2 linked regions of the Struthio camelus genome follow. The protein of the gene in region 2 interacts with the protein of the main gene of each other region in a pairwise test. Links are inferred from orthologs where the notes say so. Each region holds a gene or a part of one and is shown on either strand. Other genes may lie near its edges.

Region 1 (9,503 bases), on a different chromosome or scaffold from region 2:
GTGTGTGTGTTGTGTGCAACGCAGAGCATTATGCAAAGATCTGATTATTCGGTCATACTTGAGGCATTTGCAGTCCTGACGCTGTGCTGATCCTCTCTGAGCTTCGGTGGGCTCCACACAAGCGTAGCAATCTGACCTCAAAGTCAGGTCTTTGAAGTGTTTTTGAGGGGCCTTAGAATTTGCTGCTCTGTCTGAGGTCGAGGCTTTCAGTGTAGAATTCACAGTGTGAAGTGCTTAAAAAAAACAAAATAGGAAACTTTTAAAAGGAAATACTGCATTCAAGTTCGCTCCTGGACTAAGCCGTCCTTCTGAGCGTGGACAAACGCCGAACTCTCTGTGTGTGAGGAAATGGTGCCTCCTTTCTGTAGAGCAGACATTTGTATGTGACGTGAGCTCTCTTTCCGCCTGAGTCTGTGCGGACTGGAACCCACTTCTAAAGGAAGTGCCTGACCATTAACACCTCCTTCTCCCCTCTGAAAGCTGTCTAACCATGTACAGGGTAAGACAAGATTTGGCGGGTGACAAAGACATGGGTGAGAACTCCTTCAGGCTGAGGAGGCTCTACAGCTGAAACCTCCTGCTGCTCAGACGGGCACTCTGGCCGCTGGCGAGAGCAGCTGGGACAGCTGAACGCGAGAGTGCTCATGCCTTGTCAACAAACTGGTTGAAGTGAAGATTAATAGATGGAGGTCATTAACATTTATTCTCCGGTTCTGAATTGTGTGGTATGTTGTTTGCTTTGCTTTCATAATGAAGCATGATTATAGCTGGTAGATATATACAGCATTTTATTTTTAACCATTTAAGGTCAAAACAAAACTTAGTTTAAAAATAACAAAACACATTCCAAGTCATCCTAAAATGCAAAAGAAACGCAAAGATATCTTTTAGGATCCGTGTGAATACAGTGGTTTGCTTATGAATTTGTGCCACAGAACCTGGGTCTGAGGTAAATCAGTCTTGACTAGACTTAGTGCAGTGTCCAATTTGATAGAGATCATCAATTTTGTGCCTAATACGGTGTTTAACCTTTTAGCCCTTACATTCAGAATCTCTCCCTTTGACTCATGCATAAAATGAAAATCAAACCAGGATAGTTTATTTTTACTAACATTATTAGTTTTCATTTTTTATGTAGGACAAGTTGAAATGAAATAGTATTTGCTCATATAGCTGTAAATTCGACTGTATTTCTCAGTCTTGTTTTATTTTTGCTTGAACACATTATAATTGAAGATGCTGCCTTGACTGCTCCTTAGATTGGATGTCCTCTTCATTGACAGAACTGGTATGACAAATGTAGTCATGACAAAAGACGGGGATTTTGGCACGCACTGTCCACCTGCGTTGTGATCGGGAAGGACGGCCGGAGTTGCAACGTTTGTCAGGCAGAGCCAGGTCAAAGAGTCTAAGCCCATTTGAACTCTGACTCTCAAAGGATGAAGATAAAATAACGGCAGTTCCTTATCAGTAAAGGCATCTCATGGCTCCGCTGCCCTCACTGCCGCAGCTGACCCGTAAGAGGAACATATTCACAGGGTACAAAAATTCAGATCTCAGCTTAGGTACAGCATACGAGGTCCGCAGTGCAGCACAGTGTCATGTTATGGGTCAGAAGTGAGGGACGTGCTTTGTGTTGTGTGTCTTACTGGGTAATATGATGTGGGAGGGATGGGGGGAGAGGTTAAAAAGGAGAAGCTATGGGGAATAAGAGACTGTGCTACTCTGCAAAACTTAGGAGCAATGTGATAAGCATCATGGCTGTCATGGATAACTGTCTATAGCTGTAGTCTTAGTACCCAGCAGCGACCCTGGAATGCAGCAGGCTTCAGCACTGGGAACCAATTGCCTCGGCTGACTCTGAAATGTGGATATCTGCCACTCTGCTGGAACTGTTCATTTAGCTGGCAATTAGTAGCAACAAGATTCCCCAAAATACTGGAAAATCTTCTGAAATTCGCAGGTACTGCAATTTTTTGGTTTCTTTTCCACAAATAATTATGATCCCAATCCTACAAATTGTTCCCTTCTGAACAGCTAAATTTCTGAATTAATTGAAGCAATTGTAGCTTTGGCCTGGATGAAATCCTACTCTGCTTGTTATCAGGGGAACAGCTTTGCCTTTCTGGTAATAAAGAAGCCTACGAAATACCTATCAAAATCAGTTGATGGTAACTTAATTTAACATACTTTAAGTGTTATGCCTGCATGACAGTTATATTTAATAGTTCCATTATTCACCATGCAATAGTTCAGGCACAATTGTCCAACAGTACGGGTCCGTATCTAGTAACATTTGGAGAATGACAGGAAAATGAGATCTTTTTAGCAATAGTTTATCACTCCACTAGCGTGTTTGTAAAATGTGTTTTTCCTCCCCTCAGAATTAACATGAAATGTTCTTCTGTGGTTCAAAGAAAATTTTCATGCAAGTGTAAGCATGAAATCTAGAAACTGTTTGAACTCGAGAGTAGATCAGTGGACATAATTTCTGAAATGGCTGCTCTGCAACTACAGATGAAAAGACTAATGGCCTGTGGGGCATTATTTAAAAAGCTGGTCCCTTGGCTATTATTCATAAATGATTTCACAATGGAATCACTAATTTTCAATATTGAGGGCTTTCTACTAAAAATTAAGCAAGGCTATCACTTTGATACTAGACTTGCAGTACAAAATGAAGACAGTAGAGCAAAAAGTTTTAATCTTCCAGAAAATTACCATAGTTTTTGTTTATTTTTTAATAATGAGGAAAAGGAATTTATTTGATTTTTTTAACTTATTGCTATCCAGTTTTTTAGGTATCACTTTATCAGACTGATAAAAATTTGACTTACTTATTCCTTTGTATTTTCTTCTTGAATATTGCATTATAGAGGAAGGGAAAAATAGTCCAAACTCCTAGTCTGAGATTTAGGGAAATCACTCCCCGACTCTTCCACGTGTTTCTGACTGTGCTCAGAAAAATGTGTTAGTTTTTCACGTACGTAGAAAGAATTTAAATATTCTTACCAGTGCTTTGCTTAACTTTTCAAAGAGACGATCCAGTTAGCAGAGCATTTTTGTTTTCTTTAAAAAAGCAAACAAAATCAGGACTTACAGTATAAGCAATATACTTGTCCATGAATTGCATAGGAGTTATAGGAGATGATTTTACTAATGCAAAGACAAACAGAGCATTTGGGACAATGAAATAGAAGCAGGCTCTGTAGAAATGTGCTTAGAAATAAAAGAGCCGATTATTTTCAAGGTAATCTTCTGGGCCTAGTCTTAAGCACTAAGTAATTACCTTTATTTTACCTCAGAAATCTGTTGCTGTTCTTCATAACCACGGCCCAAATTCTGTCGCTAGTTCTACATATCAATTATGTGAAAGAAAGCCTCAGTGTGGGCAAAATAACAGGTTGAAGCCCGGAAGCCTCTTCCTTCCACCTGTCCTACGATCACTTTAAGGTTATGTTAAAATCAAAGCTAATAAGCATATAATATATCAGCATAAATATATCCAATCTTATAAGGAATAGCACTGCGCTGTATTGAGACTATTTGACAACACAGGTCATTCCATATCATTAGGGGGCTTTCCTCCGGAATGACACAATTGATTTTAACTTTTTTGCTACTGTTTCTGTATTGAAAAGTCAGATCTCGGTATTTTATACAATTACAGTTCAGATGTGTATTATTTGGCATTGAATCTCTGCTAGCCAGTATTTGGTAGAACTCATGATTTGAATGTGCCTCCTAATATTTGGCTTTTTCCTTAAAGTCCTGGCTTCCGGAGTCATGTGATTACATCAGACACTTCAAGAGAAAAAAAAAATCTAGATCTCATGGTTCTAGAGAAAAAACTTAAAAATCTGATCTGAATTCACCCTAGGGCTCAAATACCAAAGGCAAATACAGAGCACAATGTATTAAGTTCATAATTGTAAAGGTTTTCCTGCCTGGGGGAAGGAAGAGTGACTTATTAATAACTCTAGTCAGTTCTAGGTGCCTCTACGTTGTGTTTACAAATTAGGTGTCACATAACTCAGTCATAAAACTGCATGAGCTTCAGTTCAGGGACTGTTATTTTTTTGCATGACCTGCAACTGTGTAACCGGCCCCTGACGCTTATTGGAGCTTTGCATTTATAAAAGAAAGAACGGGGTCTAAAATGCAAATGCTTTATTCAGTGACGCTTTAAAGTAGTAACACAAACTTTTTACAAAGGGTACAGAGAGTACTTTTCTAAGCTTTGCGTACAGATTAAAACCCTACTGCGTTGTGTGAAAAAGCCTTACAAACATGATGAACCTGGAACAGAGTGAAAGCTATGTACGTGCAAGCGGAAAGTATTTATATGCTGTTTGGAAACAGTTTTAAACTGGGGGAGCGGGGCGGGGGAGGCTCTTTTGTCAGTGTAGCCAAACCCCATTTCCTGTGGGGAGTAAGCTGTACCAGTGAAACCCCCTTTCGCTGGTGTAACTGTGTCGGTGCTACAGGCTCGGCCAGCGCGGCTCACCTGCTTTTCTCCTAGTCCTGCCCCACAGGTTAAACCTTCCTAGCCGGGACCAGCCCCTGGGACCGCGCGCAAACGTCGTACCAACGGTGGTGGGAGAAAGCTCCTCGCGCCGTTTCATCTGCCGCTTTGCGCGGACAGGAGACCCATACAGGCCGTTCCTCCTCTAGCCCCTTTACTCATGCCAGAGCCCTTAGTCATACAGGATTATTGGTTAAAACCATCACCCCATAGCTGTGTGAGCGCTAGCTAATTTTTTTGAATGAAGGTGGAGAGCGCAGGCCGAGGGGCCCGGCTGTGGCTCGGGGGGGTAGGCCCAGGCCCAGGCCCGGGGCCTGGCTGCGGCCAAGGCTGAGGCCAAGGCGGAGGGAGTGGGCGATGCCCGCCGCGGGCTGCGTGGCCGCTGCCAGGAGCGGGCAGACCTGCCTGGCAGGGCCGTGCCGGGACACGCAGAGCCCGAGGAAGGAGGCTTCGCCAGCCGTCCCCGCGTGTAATTACGGGGCAACACTGGCACACACAGCGCCCTTGAGCGCCGGGCGCCCTTGCTGCTGAGGCCTCAGCGAGCGTGCCTCCCTGCGCGGAGGCGGGCGGCGCGGCGCGGCGCGGCGCGGCCCGGCCCGGCCCTCCTCGCGGGTTGACAGCCGCGGGCGGCGGGAGCATCGCTGGCAGGGCACCGGGGGGGAGCGGGGCTCGAACCCGCGGCCACGGACGACGGCAGGGGCGGGAAGGTAGGCGCGCCCGACCCCCGCGCGGGGCATTGTGGGCCCCGGAGTAATTTATGCAGGACCGCAGAGGGCGCCGGGAGAAGCGGGAGGCGGCGGCGGCGCGGGGGCTGGCGGCGGCGGCCGGGGCTGGCGCGGCCGGCGGCGGGTCGGGCTCGGGGTCCGGCTGGCGGCCGTGAAGGGGCGCTCGGAGCGCGCGGGGCCTGCGCCGCCCCCTGAGGCCGCAGCGGCACCGGCGGACGCAGGCCGCCGCCGCGGAGCAGCGGCACCAGCCGGTCTCGGCCAGCCCTTCGCCGGCCGCCGCGGCCGCGGAGGTGGCGGCGGGCGGAGCCGGGCCCGGCTCGCGGCGACGCGCGCGGCCCCGCCGCTCCCTAGCGAGGGCCCCGCTGGGCGCGGGGCCTCCGCGGCCGCGCTCGCCGCTGCGGCGGCCCGAGCCGGCCCTGCGCGGGCTGCCGCGGAGCGGGGCTGCGCCGCCGCGCAGGGAGGCCCGGCGCGGCGCGGCGCTCCCGCGGGAGCAGGGAGCCCTGTCTCGCCGTCTCGGTGCATCTTTGTTTGCCGGGGCCTCCGCAGGGCAGAGAGGCGTCGAGAGCCGGCCTTGAGCTGCCGGTTTTGCCCGTGGCTCCTGGGCCCTGCCGCCTCCTGCGCCGCCTGCCTCCGTTTCCCGGCTGGTTTCTTTCATCCCTCTCGGCTGGATATCGAAATTCCGCAGCATCGTCGGTGGGACTGGCCGGGGCCAGAGTGCGCCTGTAAAGCGGCTGGAGGAGTAATGCAGGCGAAGCTGCGAGTCTCCCTTCTGCTCGCCTTTCAAACCGGTATCAGCTCCTCGCTTTTGGGATTATAAATGTTTGAGCTAAGGCCCAGGAAACTGAAAGGAGAGCCTCCTGTTGGAATTAATAGAGGAGGAAAAAAAGGAGGCTTTTCCAAATCCTTTGCAAGAAAACTCAAGTCGTTGTTCCGTCCTGTCCTTTTTCTGTTCAATAAAGTGACTGTGACCTGAGTGGAATTTCAGAGCAATGAACTATTGAAGCTTGTTGCACCAGCGGCATAGAGTATTTTTTTTTCTCTGCACGTGATTCCAGCTGTTGCAGGAACTATGGGCCAGTAATAGAGAGATGGGAAGCTGAAAAGGTTTATTTTCACGTTCTCTGTTCTGGGGACTTGAGTAGTTAGCTGAAGTTGCTGCTGCTTTTTACTGGATCAGCTCTTTGCCCCGCAGGTTTATTCATTTTCGTGTGTATGGAGTATTTCAATTACATAGACGTTGGGCTAGAGCTGAATGGATAGTTTGCAATCTGAAAAGTTTTGGGGGATAACAGAAGACTAAAAACAGAAAAACTGGTACTGCAGGAAACTTGACGCCTGTTTTCCAAGCCTTTTTATTTCATTGAACAAGGTAAATAACGTAGTGGTGTCGAAAATACAGGCCTTTTGGTAATCATGCATAAAAATGTTGCAGCATTTCAGACTTTTTGAAGTTTTTCAAGAGATTCAGAGGTGTAGTCCCACGGTAATGCTCTGAATAAGTTTAATTGTTCTTTAAAATGTGCAGATATCAATGTGAACTTAAAGGCTGAGAACAAACGTTATGGTACCTGGGAGGATGTGAGAGAACTTTTTTCTTATCTGTTTTAGGGTCTCGTAGGTTTGTGTTGTTGAGAGAGGCTGTCTGGAGACCTTCAGAGGTCTTCAGGACCTTCAGAAGGTTCAGTGAGAATGTGCAGTAATCACATGTGTGATTTTTTTTCCTATGCTTTTTAAAAAGTTTCTGTCTCCTGTGGTGATCTGCTTGGGGTCTTTAAAGCATCCATCCAGTTTAACAGTAGTAATGTAATTAAATTTGTACTGTTAACTGTGTTCATACTGTGACTTCAATTATTTTCACTTACATTTACTGTTGTTATCAACAGTGACAGCTGGTACCACTTAATAACGACATCTTACTTTCTCTTATTATTTTATTACTGTTGAGGGCTTTTATCTTCTTTTACATGTTTCTCTCTTGAATTGGAGAATCTGGATTTACTGTTAATTTACATGCATCAAATTTACCATAGAGGTTCTGCTCCTAGCATAAGCTCAAAGTAGTTGTTTAGAATACCTTCTTTGTGTATGGTAGGAGTTGGAGAAGACAGATAATGATTCTCAAAATATGCAATATAATCAGTAACAAGTTTAAGTATATAATTTTTGTGTCTTGCTGCTTGCTTTATCTTTCTTTTTCAAAGACCTCAGCAACAGTTTCCTCTTAACAAAAATATAAATCTGTTAAAATGAGATCATAGTTTGAAATGTAGCTGTAGAAATCTGATTTTGCAAGAAGTCACAAGATTCTCATTATAAAGTGATTAAATTGGTTGTATACCTTTTCTCCTGCAGTCTTAATGAAACAGTGGCAAGCACAAAGGTGTTGGCAACCTTTGCTGATGCTATCATTGGGAAAGCTAAATTGGTGTTATGGGTAGTATCCCAAGTTCCTTTGCTTATCATGTTTAGATTTGTTTGACTGAGACTTATGGTTTTTATTTCTCTTGTTTTATTTCAAGATGATGTGTGAGGTGATGCCAACCATCAGTGAGGCAGAGATTCCCTCTGGGGGAAATGGAGGCCATGGTTCAGGTTCCCCGTTACAGTCAGATGCTGATTCCCATTTTGAGCAGTTAATGGTGTCCATGTTGGAAGAAAGGGATCGCCTTCTGGAAACGCTAAGAGAAACTCAGGAGACGCTAGCGTTGACCCAGGGCAAGCTACATGAAGTTGGTCATGAGAGAGATTCCTTGCAGAGACAGCTCAATACTGCACTTCCACAGGTATGGACATTTTCAAAGGAGGGTATCTGGTGATAATTTTTTTCTGTGTCATTTTGTTTTTGTTTTTTTCTTTATTCAATTTACTTAAAAGTCAGGTTATGTCAGGGGAAGATCAATCTAGCCTAGTATTTTCCTGAAGGTATTTGTTGTTGCTTACTTTGAGACATGCAAAAGTAGAGACCAACCAAAGACCAGCCCTTTCCCTCCTGTATGCTTTCCTGGTTTTTGGTGTTTCTTTGGCTTAGGGGCAGCTTGAACGTTAAGGTGTATCTACATCCTTTTGTGTAATAGAACTTGTTGGACTTTCTTCTACCACTCTCGTAATTTTTTTTTTAAATGCAGTTTCTATCTGCCTTATTCATTCATATGCTCAAGGATTACATATAAGCTGTTGGAGAGAAAGCAAACCATTCTGATACTGTTATGGACTTAGATTCAAAAACTGGGAAGTTTAAGACTGCTACCTTGTGAATACGTGCTGTGTTGCCGTGGCAGTACAGAAATCTGAGCGTTTTGGTTACCTCGCTTAGTGCCTTTTAGGAGTATGGATTTGTGTTTGATAGGAGTTACTAATGATTAGCTTCTGGAGGAGCTTTCTACCAGGAAGGCAGTAAACTAACATACAGCCTGTGCTACTAAAAGTATTATATAGGACAGTAGTGTGTAGTTAGGAAAAATAGTTCATATCTACAGAACTTGTCTGTTTTTATCCATTCTAGTTAAAAAGAATACAACTGAACCTTTTTAACCTTGAAAAATTTCAAAAAGCTGCAAGAACCCATCTGATGATAGTCAAAGCAGGGACTGCTTTCAGTCTTCAAATGACTGATGATAACCTTATACTTCCTAGCATATTTGGTTATGATTCCAAGTATGTCATGATAGTGATGTACACACATGTTATTCCAAGAATACATATTATTTTCCAAATGTTTACATATCCTTAAATATTGTAGTTACTGTTTATACTCTTTAAAACAGTAGTCTTAAACCTTCTTATTTCCACTACTTTCATCCTAGCGTAGTCACTGTATGACTCCTAGTATGGTAAGCTGTCCTGGAAATAACTCAGGAATAGGAAATAAAAAGTAATACATGTTCATATAGTTGTATTACTACGGTATGGTAGAAATCAGAAAGGAAAAGTTTCCAGCCTTTGCTGCTTCCTGTGTTAAATCATGTGCTTCAGGCAAAAATCATTATTTGTTTTTCCTTTGTTTTTTATTGTAATAGTTGTGGCTTCTCGTTAGCCACTATTTTAGATCTGCTGCATTAATGTATGCTATTAACCAGTTGTATGGTCTACAGACTGTTACACTTGAATTTGTGACTGAGTAGAATCACCAAGGCTCTAAACTGTACCGTTCCTCTTTTTTCCCTTTTCAATTCTCAGATTTCTTTCCTAAATCTATAAGCTACTAATATGTAAGCATTTCTTTCAAAGATAAAAGATTAATGCAGTTGAATTCC
Region 2 (10,175 bases):
CATCTTCCACTGATTTTGATTGACTGAGAAGAGAATAGCTATATGTAGTCCAAACTGTTACCAGAAAGCTAAAGAACAGGATTAGGTTGCATTCTGTCAGTGTTCTTGCATGTATGCTATCCTGGCAATGCGTTCTTTACTCTATTTTCCCAATAAATATTTCCCAATACATATTTCCCAACTTTTCCCAACAAATATTTCATTTTGGTTAAGAGGCAATTTTGGAGTTATTTCACAGGCTGTAGCGAGCAGTTCTGGGAACCTGCAGATAGAAAGGGCTAGAAACAGTTTTGTAAGATTGGAAAAGCTAGGAAGCACAAACTGCACAAAAATCCCCTCTTGAGTTACAAAGACGAGCCTAACCGTCCTGAGAAGGAGAGGTAGGATGTTAATTAGGATATTTCTGAGCTTTTATTGCTTTAAAATCATGGTATAATACTTTGTTATCTAAAATGAACACCCCTTTATCTAAGGAAACAACTTTAACTGCTATATTTGCTCTTGTTTGCAAGGTCATGGTAAATATTCTGTATAGATATTATTTTTAACTTCAAAAGGTTGCAAAATCAATTTGTGTTCCTCAGGCTTTTGGGAGATCAAGGAAGATAAGACTTTGATGGCTTCTGTCATTAAAGAAAAACATTTTTATATTCAAGGCGCTTAGTGTTCTAACTTCTGTCTTGTTTGGTATAGTCAAATCTGTGTTTCAGCGAACTAAATATTTAAACATGCTTTATAGCTTGCTGGCCTACCCTTCCCCATGCTTAACAATTCCTCATTTACTAATAATAAATACGGATATAAAAATAATGGGTAAATATGGATATATATTTGCAAGTATTACCTTGTGGTATTGTCTAAAGCTTTCCTTTGCTGTCACGACTTAAACTCCAAAACTTAGCACCAGGGAGCTACTAATGTACTGTGCCTACTGCCTGTCTCATCCACCATTCTCCTGTTTTGCACCTGACCTTTAAGTTCTGTAGGACTGGCATTCAGTAGTCACACACATGAACTGAAATTTCATTGTGCTGCAAGTGGAACAATAATTCAAATGACTTGGAACTGTACCTGGTGTTGGCTTTTCTCTATTTCAGTCTTGAGTTAATTTGGTACTTGATTTTTCTTGTTTTTTTTTTTTATTTCACTTTATTTTTTGTAAAGATGTTTAAAGTTTTTGAAGGACTTTTTTTTTTTTTGTTCCATCTTTGCTTAACTGGTGTGTAGTAGAATCTTGTTTACTAGGTGGGAAGATAAGTTTGCTGGTCTCATATGGGGACTTAGGTGCTCATTATCCATAACAGTAAATTAAAGCAATAAGAACTGGTTGAGGACATGTTGCTGCATGCTATGTGCTTATACAAACAACACAGATGGCATTTTATGCCTTAAAAACTTCTTGCAATTTAAATGAAACTGGCAAGGCATGGAGTAGGGAAATGTTTAGTCCTTGGTACTAAATTGTTTCTTCCAAACTACTTGATTGCCCCTTAGTTTTCAGGGAAGTTTACTATATAATAAATTCATGTTTTTGCAAAATCTTCTTTAAAAGCAGTTTTGATCCACTATTTAAAAAGGAGGAGGGGGCTGGAAACAGTGCCATTCACTTATAGGTTTGTTTGCCATGAAATTAGATGTGATCTGTGATCTATTGTCTTGATCATAGGCTAGTTTTTTGTTGTTGTTTGTTTGTTTTCCCACTCCTGCTGTTCTAGACTGAAGTCAATTTTGTCCCAGATAGCTGTGCTATTAGAAGCCGCATATTATTACCATACGTTGTGGTAGTATGCAGAAGTAATGTTTTAAAAGTATTATTCTTAATCCTTTCTTTTGTTTCAGTTTGTTCCAAACAGTTATGGGTACAGAGTTTGAAATTTTAGTTAAACTAGAAGAATTATCAGAAATTCTAGTATACTTAAAGAGATGTTGTTGGTCTAGTTGCATCTTTTATAAGTGTGAAGGCTTCTCCACTATCATCTTTCTAAGTTTTGGTCTAAATGTGTTAGCTATTCCCTGATATAACCTCTAGACCTCTTTTTCTTTTCCCTGTGAGAGGCGTAGGGGAATGAAGGATTACTTTTACTCAATTAGATATATTAATGTTTGCTGAGGAAGGGGAGATGGGAATTTGAACAAAGTGAAGATGAAGAATGAAGAAATCGGAGGAAAAAAAAAAGACAGCATCAGATAATTGGGGTGAGCAAAGAAGGAAGTGAGGGAATAAAGTGAATCTTTATGACTTTGTTCAAATTTATAGTAAAGGAAGAGTTAAAAAATACTTCAGCATTTTTATTCACCCTAGACCCACTTTATTTAAAAAACAGGCCCCTTTATGTCATAAATTACTTAATTTGTAAACTTTAGAACTAGAACATTTATGATAAGATGGAAACTATTTAAAATGATTTAAATTAAATGGAAATTCAAGCCATACATGTTTAGAAGCCCAGAACAAATAACTACAAGTGCTAAACCAGCTGTGATAGCAGAACCTTTTCCGCAAGTACAGTTATGCTGTAAATATGCTGTAAATTTTTGTTCAATATCCTCAGCTCAATGGCAGGTTCATTCAAATCTTAAAAACTGAATGAACTGACAAGGGATGAAAGCTTCATTTCTTTAAACAGCCTGTGGACGTGAGATCCTTCTAATTTGAAGGTTGACAGGAAATTATTAAGCTTCCCTAACTGTAACTAGTATGTTTAAGAGCAAGATGTGCCCCAAACTAGTGTTCTAAATTTTCACTGAATTACAAGTTATTTCTGAATATAAATAAGTATAAGTAGAATTTTCCCTAACACAGCAAGTGCAGTCATATTAAGAGATGCCAAATACTTCCTCGAGTACAATGTAACATCAAGAATCTGAACAAACTCAAACTTAATAATTCATAAATAAGCATGTATTTCTGTGTTCTCCTATTTAGCTGATGAGGCAGCAGTGTCTAAATTACAATAATCAAAAGTCAAGTGAGCAAACACCTGAAACTGCAGATAAGAAACTAGAATGGGAGAGTAAATTTTGTAGTTCATAAAGTAGTAGGAAGTCAATATGATAGTAGTTAGGGAAGAAGAGAAAGCATGGCTTTTGAGATGGTGGCTATCATTAGTGCAAGAACAAAGGCTACATTGGCTGACAATAGTTAAATACGCTTTCTCCCTCCCGTTAATCTGGAGAGGAAAATCTGCTTACTTAGGCCGTTACCTACAGCTGATGAGCTCCAAGAAGAGCGAAACCTTTTAAAATAGGTCCTGTAGTATTGGCCTAACAATCTTCTAAGAGTGACTTGCTTACTTCATTTTTGTGCTTAAGTTTTAAGTGTAGTCAAAAACCACAGAAATAAGTAGTCCAGAGTCATCAGCAGCTAAAGCTGTGAAAGCAAGTAAAGGGGAAGTCTTCAGATTTTATTTTTTTTTATGTATTGTTTTTTCTGTTCAGCCCGGTATAAGCATAGGAAACATATGGCATGCATGTATTGGGGGGGGGGAGTTTTTTTGAAGAGAAAGAGAAAGGAGAAGAGTAGAACAGAAGAATGGAATATGAATAGGAAAAGAAGAAAGAGGAGTAAAGCTGAAATATGTTAATATTTGTGGTGCTATTTAAGGTATTTCAGATAGTGAAAGTGACTGTGTAGAAGTATCCTCCTTTACTGGAATGACATTTGTAAATTAAGGTTTCATATGAATTCTGTCATATGGATTACTCGATGAAGCAATGAAATAGTAATATGGTAGCTAATGAAAGAGGGAGAAGTTGGATGCATGAGGAAAGATTGTAAACTCTTTGAAGGTTTGCACTAAACATACTCAACTGTAGTTTTGGAAGGTGTTCGATCTTACAATTTTTTTGTGTTTCAAGGTGAAAAATGATAACATTTAAAGATTTTTTTTTCCCCCATACGGTTATCAAATAAGAATCACATTGTGTTTGGAGTTTTTTTGTTTTGTTTTTTAATGACTATTTTACCACAGGATAGATAATTCCCCTTTAAGTCTCAACATTATGAATTAAAATAATAGGCATCTTGAACTAAAATTTACCATGGGCCTTGGGGACTACCTTACCTTATTGCATTAAAAAATACATTTGTCTGTGTGTATGTATAATGTATTTGTGTATACACACAAATATACATATATATTCTATCATACTTTTATATATATATGACTGTTATCTTGTCACAGTGTGTTGGTAATTTTCAAGAGCCTCATAATGTCTATCTGAAAACTGAATACAGAGAAAAGTTAGCTGAACACATACGTTATGACAGAACTAATTGAAACTGGAGCAGGTTTTAGCTTACTTTCAATATCACTGAAGATAAATCAGGAAATGCGGTCTTATTACATCCGCTCAGTTTTAGGTGCTGGCTTCATCAGTGAGTTCAACTCTGATGCTTTTGCTTCTCATTTGAACTTGAACGTACTTCACTGTGAAGCCTTCTGGGCTATAGACAGTATCAGTAACTGTACTGACATTTCTTACAGATAAAAGATAAGCTCCTCCAATAATGGGTTCATCTTACTGATTTCAGATTTGCTTCTTTGCCTTCAACAAAATTACTGCCTCCTGACATAAAGCAAAACTGTATTTTATGGATCTAGCATGGTTCTCACTGTTAATTCAAGAACTGTTCTGTCACTGCAGTGAGAAGTTTTCTATGTTTCACTGCGTCAGACTTGAGCAGACCACCTGTGCACTCTTTAAGAGTTTTCTGTGCTTCTGGCTTAGGTGGTGAATGTAAGCTGAGCCCATGCTATCAGTGCAAGAGCTGATATGAAGACCAAAACCCGTGGAATATATTTTTACTTCCAGCTCTCCATGCTTACCAGAATCCTTGAAACTTTGGGAGACTTCTAGCTAGAAGAATTTTACTCAGGTGCAGAAACTCAACTGCGTTGGTTTTAACAACCTTTAAGGAAAAAATTGCATTAGGTTGAACCTACTCTTAGTCCTCATCCTCAAGTGAATCAAGAGCATTCATAATGTAAATGACCTCTCCAGATTATTAAATATTAGAAAAGGCTTTTTGAGGAAGAAATATCCGTGGAAATCAACCAGAACAGACCATATAAACTCACTTTCTCATCACTATGAATAGAAGCTAGTTGATGGTACTGCTTTTCTATTTAAAGTACAAATCAAACGTTTTGCTGGAAAAACAAAAACGGATGTTCATCACGAAACACCCTTGTGTGTGAAATTTGCATCTTTATCAGATTTCAGGTTTTCCCCTTCCTTTAAAAGATTAGTGGCAATCTCGATGTTTTATGTTCAGGCATGTTTCTCTAAGCACTTGAGATTTGAGCCTTGGGTTGAACTGAGTGGTGTAAAAGCTAAAGAAATGAAATCCCAGTATTACCATTTAATTATTTATATTTGCACCAATTCTATATGTTTAAAAAACCTGCTACTCTCACTTGAAGCACTGTGTAGATCTCTGAATTTGTTTAGTTTCAGTTCCAAGTACAGTGTTTAGTTCGAGCATGACTTTTGTGTCGTCTTAGTAGGTTTGTTTAGCTCTCAGAATACAGATTTTTATTTCAGAAAATTCTGTGGCAGGAGAAGGGGACTGGTAAAATTGCCTCAGTAATGTAGAGGTCAGAAAAACATTAAGAGCAAGATTACGTTCTTTTGCAGAAGACAACTTTAACTAATGAGTTAGAGATCAATTCCTTCTAGTCTCAGCGTTCTTAGGTTAACTCCATTCCATCACTGTACTAAACAGCAATATAGTCTTAAATGATAAATGAACAGAGGGTGAATAGTGAGACATCTGCTGAAAGAAACCATCATTAAAAATGCAAGCCAACCGTTAAGAATGTTAGAAGGACTCAATTAGTAATTGAATTTCATCTGCTACTTTATTGCCAGTGTAGATGCATGTAAAGTTATGCAAATGGAGGTGAGGGAACGGAGAGGAGAAACAGGCAATCCTAACTTTACATATCTACTGTTGTTCTCTGAGCTATCTGTTGCCCCTCAGGAATACTATCCTGATGCTCTGGTACCGTCCTGTGAAAACATCAGCAAGTGCTCAGTTGTAGTCAAAAAAAGGTAATAGAATATTAAGAATTATTAAGAAATATTAAAAAAAGAATAAAACAATATTACTGCTACTTTGTAAAGCAGTGGTATGCCTCTTATGTCAAATATAGTGTACAGTTCTGTTTCTCCTTCATCTCTGAAAGCAGATAACAGAACTAGAAAACATATGGAGGAAGGTGATAAGGATAATCAAAAGTAGGAGGGCAGTTTTTGTACGAAAAACTGTTATATCGTCTCCCGATTCTTCAGCCTGGAAAGGAGATGACTGAGTATTGTTCATGTCTCTTCCAGCCCAGAAGTGGGTGGAGGCAGGAGCCAGCATGAAATGGAACTAGGCAGTAATGAGTCCAAAACAATCGGAAGGATATGGTGAGGAACCGTACTTCTGGTGCAATCTACTGTGGTCTCTCTTATGTTCATATTAAAAAAATTACAAGTTTCCAAGAGTGCAAAATGGAATTTTACAGATTTCTGAGCCGTGCAGAAGAACCACACAGAAAGCAGGACTGAGTACTGCATTTTTTGCTGTTATTCTGAAAAATTTGGCTTTAAGAGTATTTAGAGCATAACCTCTCTCAACCTCATTAGAGGTTGACCAATTCATTAGAATTATTTTTAGAATTTGGCTCTGCTGGCTGGTGAGGCTTCTTCTTGATGTGTGGGCCCTTGTGGGAACCTGGCTTTTCTGTGTAGTTATTCTAGAATTCAGTGTTGCTTTAGTATTGGAGAAGGAAGGAAGCAGATTCTTTGATTAAACATTATTAATCCAAAATGTGACTATCTTAATGTGTATATTCTTCTTGATGAATTTTACCTTTGAAGCCCTTGAAGGGAAGGTGGCAGAAAGAGTAAGGAAAGAAGTAGGAAGTTGCCAGGTCTACCATATAGAAAGTAGTTGTGCTGTCAAGGTTTGTCAAGGCTCGGGAATGGATGAAAATCGGGCATTTTCTTACTCTGGTCAGGATCCCAGAAAACTAGCTGGCACATTTGGGTTTGGTGTATACAATTTAAAGCTATGTTTAAAGGAGTGTTAAGGTTAAAGGTCAAACACCTTAGGATTTTAATGCTTCCTTTTCAGTCCTGACCATTTATTTCCCTTTACTCACACGCACTGAGATGCAGTGTTTATCATTGTTTTTATAAAAATCTGAGCTAATAGTTAAGGTAATTTTCATGTTAAAACTCCTTCCTAATTTCATCTTCTGAATCCGTATTGCTTTCTGCATGGGTCATCATCTGTAAAGTTCTAATGTTTATATCTGTTTGCACCTCCATGTTGCACTGGAGCTAATGGAGTGACTGCTGTCATTTCTCTGGATGAACAGCTAAAGGGAAATGAAATGCATTTTGTTTTTATATTCCATTGGTATAGGAAAATTTAAATTCTGAGTTACTGTATTTTGGAAAAGCTGTATTTTCTGCTATTTGTAGAACCTTTAATCCTTACCTCTCATCTTTCAGTTTGTCCAAGTCAAATACTAATTCATGTGCTTTGCCTTGCTACTCATTACCATTCCAGTCATTCCTGTGCAAAGTTGTAATCCGGTGTGTTAGTCTTCACTTCTGTCTCACCTCCTTGTTCAGTCTGTTGTGTTTTCCTGTCCTAGGCTTTTCCTAGTTATGTGCACCAGAATTGCTTTAGTCACCTCTTGGTTTGCCCTTTCCTTGGCTCATTCCTTATCTTTTCAGCTTTCCTGGCATGCATGTTTTGATTTGGACTCACTGGAGCATAAAGCGCTTTCAGTAGAAGGAATGACGAAATGAACTGGGATCCCTCAGCATGGAAGAGAGGGCTGGGGAAAAGATATGCTGGAGATCTATAAAGTCATAAATGTCATGGAGAGGATGGATAGTGGTGGTTCTCCCACCCCCATCCCATTTTTCCTTCCCATAGAAGAACTGTGTGACTTCAAAATCTGATGGGAGAAGGCAGGTTCAAAAGAATGCAAGAAGGTGATTTGTTGAACTGTGGGTTTTATGCTCTGGAATTTCTTGCTGCTAAGTGCTGTGGACATTAAAAGTTTACAAGTTGTGAAGGACAGGCAGATAGGCTCATGGAGGAGAAAGCTGTGGATGGTTACTAACTCCAGAGGATCAATTTGACTCTGGAAGTCTTGGCGTTGCGAACTTTTGGACCTTGAAAGTGTATTCTCAGGAAACTTTAACTGTGTGCTTGTTCCAGTCTTGCATTCTTCCCTCGACATCTACTTTGGGCTGCTTTTGGAGACATGATACTGCTTTGGCAAGATGGATATGGCGCAGTGTTATTTTCTTATTAGAACTTTGCAACAAAATGATTAAGATTTTTAAGCATCATCAAGCATATTTATTTTTCTAAACCGCCTTAATCATTTTATCTCAGTTCTTCTTTATAACTGAAGTCCAACAAGCTCCTTCTGGCTTACTGTTAGGGAAACCCTCAGGTCCAAACCTGAAGTTTTGTGAATATATAAGGTCTTTCTTCTGTTGACAGTGTAAAGGATTGACAGTTTTAGATCTGTGTTGCTACTGCCCTTTTTATAGCAATAAAAACCATAGGGCATGGACTTGCGACTTCTTTTGCATAGGGTGGTCATATAGCATGTGTTATATAGTTAGCATACAGTAGCATAGGCTAAAGAGTATAAAAATGTAGTACAGTTCTGTAAGATTCACATTGGTCTATGTGTATTGCTAATTCTAAGCACTGCTGATCTATTGATGTTTTGAAGAATGATAAAGTAGATATCAAGTCTGTAGAAGCAACTAGCCACCAATATGAAGGATAAAATTAGGTAGAAAAAACTTGTATCTGCTTAAACATGTAGTGTGTTACTGGAGAATCACCATTTAAATGACATTGTTGCCTGATGGTACATAAAACAAATACTTGAGTGTTTTTTCTCTGCGTATGTCCATTGTAAGGCTGAGCATATGTCCATTTGAAGAACTTTTGTCTGCCATATCATTTTGATCCGTGCACATTTCTCAGCACTTTTCTCATGCCCTGTACCACAAATATTTAAAAAAAAAAAAAAAAAAAGATGCTGAGCAAACTACAGTCCATCTCTTTGACTTTCTGATGTTGTGCGCTCTAGTTCACCTCTTTAGCATAATTCTAGTTGTTCTGGCTTTAGTTCACTTCTATTTTGAACCTAAGATAGGTTTAAAGTGCTAAGGGTGAATACAAACTTTTCATCTTTCTTCCTCTCAGTTCCGTCAGTAAGAAACATTACTGTATCTGTTTGTTCAGGCTTTCAAAACTGCTTTGTCAGTTACTCTAATAAATCTCATTTGCCTAGTGTCGTTTCCACAACTTTTCCAAATATCTGTCAGTTTGTCCCTTAAACTTATCTCTCCGGTCAGACTACTTGGCTTGTAATGGATAACACTCTGGCCCAGAAAGATTGTTTCTTTAGATGTTCAGTCCCTCACAGATAACAGAAGAAAGAAATCTGTAAGAAAAGTTTATGTATCTAAATAGTACCATTTGTTTTCTCAGCAAGCGGGTACAGGATTGTTGAACTATTGACCTATTGAAACTTTCAGGTCTTTTGCTTCCTTCAAGAAAGGTAAGAGACTTGGAAGTGGTCCTGAGAAAACATTGCTCTGGACATGATTTTTCTGAAACCGTAACTGAATTATCTGTACAAGATAGTTCCTGATTTATAGGTTAATCACGGTGCATTATTGTGTCTCTGGAACACATTCTAATCATGGAGAGACCAGATTACTTACTAAGATCTCATTTCAAGGATAGTGCTGAACAGTTACTCATTTGCTTTGCAGTGAGTATGAACGGTAGTGCTAACTTCTTTAAAATTTTAAAAGCGTACATCTTGGTAAATGTAATCTATTTAGCTGTGAATTTTGAATAATAGTGTTATATAACCATGGTCTGTGCAGCTTTAATGACCTCTTCAAAAAACAAAATCTTGACACCCACGAAGCAGCAAAGTGTTGGTGGAGGAAGAGATTGATGTCATCATAGTGTCACACTTTTAAATGTATGTGTTACCAAACAGCACCAAAATTAATCACAGATATTAATACAGTGCACGGTATTAGTCACATACCTTCCTTTATCTCTGCTTTAGTCCTTTCCTGCGAACCAGGTCTGTACAACTTGCACAGTCCTTGAGTGGTGG

Evidence for each region. The genes of interacting proteins can lie anywhere in the genome.
Region 1: the proteins of DTNB (region 2) and PPFIA1 interact in binary tests that used the Homo sapiens proteins (3 or more experiments, as listed by UniProt). The link is inferred for Struthio camelus from reciprocal best matches to the Homo sapiens genes DTNB and PPFIA1.

What each region holds. Positions count from the first base shown.
Region 1 is NC_090946.1:32,986,344-32,995,846, forward strand, and holds the start of PPFIA1 (liprin-alpha-1), read left to right. Parts: upstream 1-5,687; 5' UTR 5,688-6,619; intron 6,620-7,769; coding exon 7,770-8,033; intron 8,034-9,503. UniProt on the Homo sapiens protein: May regulate the disassembly of focal adhesions. May localize receptor-like tyrosine phosphatases type 2A at specific sites on the plasma membrane, possibly regulating their interaction with the extracellular environment and their association with substrates.
Region 2 is NC_090944.1:1,497,025-1,507,199, reverse strand, and holds the start of DTNB (dystrobrevin beta), read left to right. Parts: upstream 1-5,884; 5' UTR 5,885-5,893; coding exon 5,894-6,057; intron 6,058-6,339; exon of another isoform or gene 6,340-6,417; intron 6,418-10,175.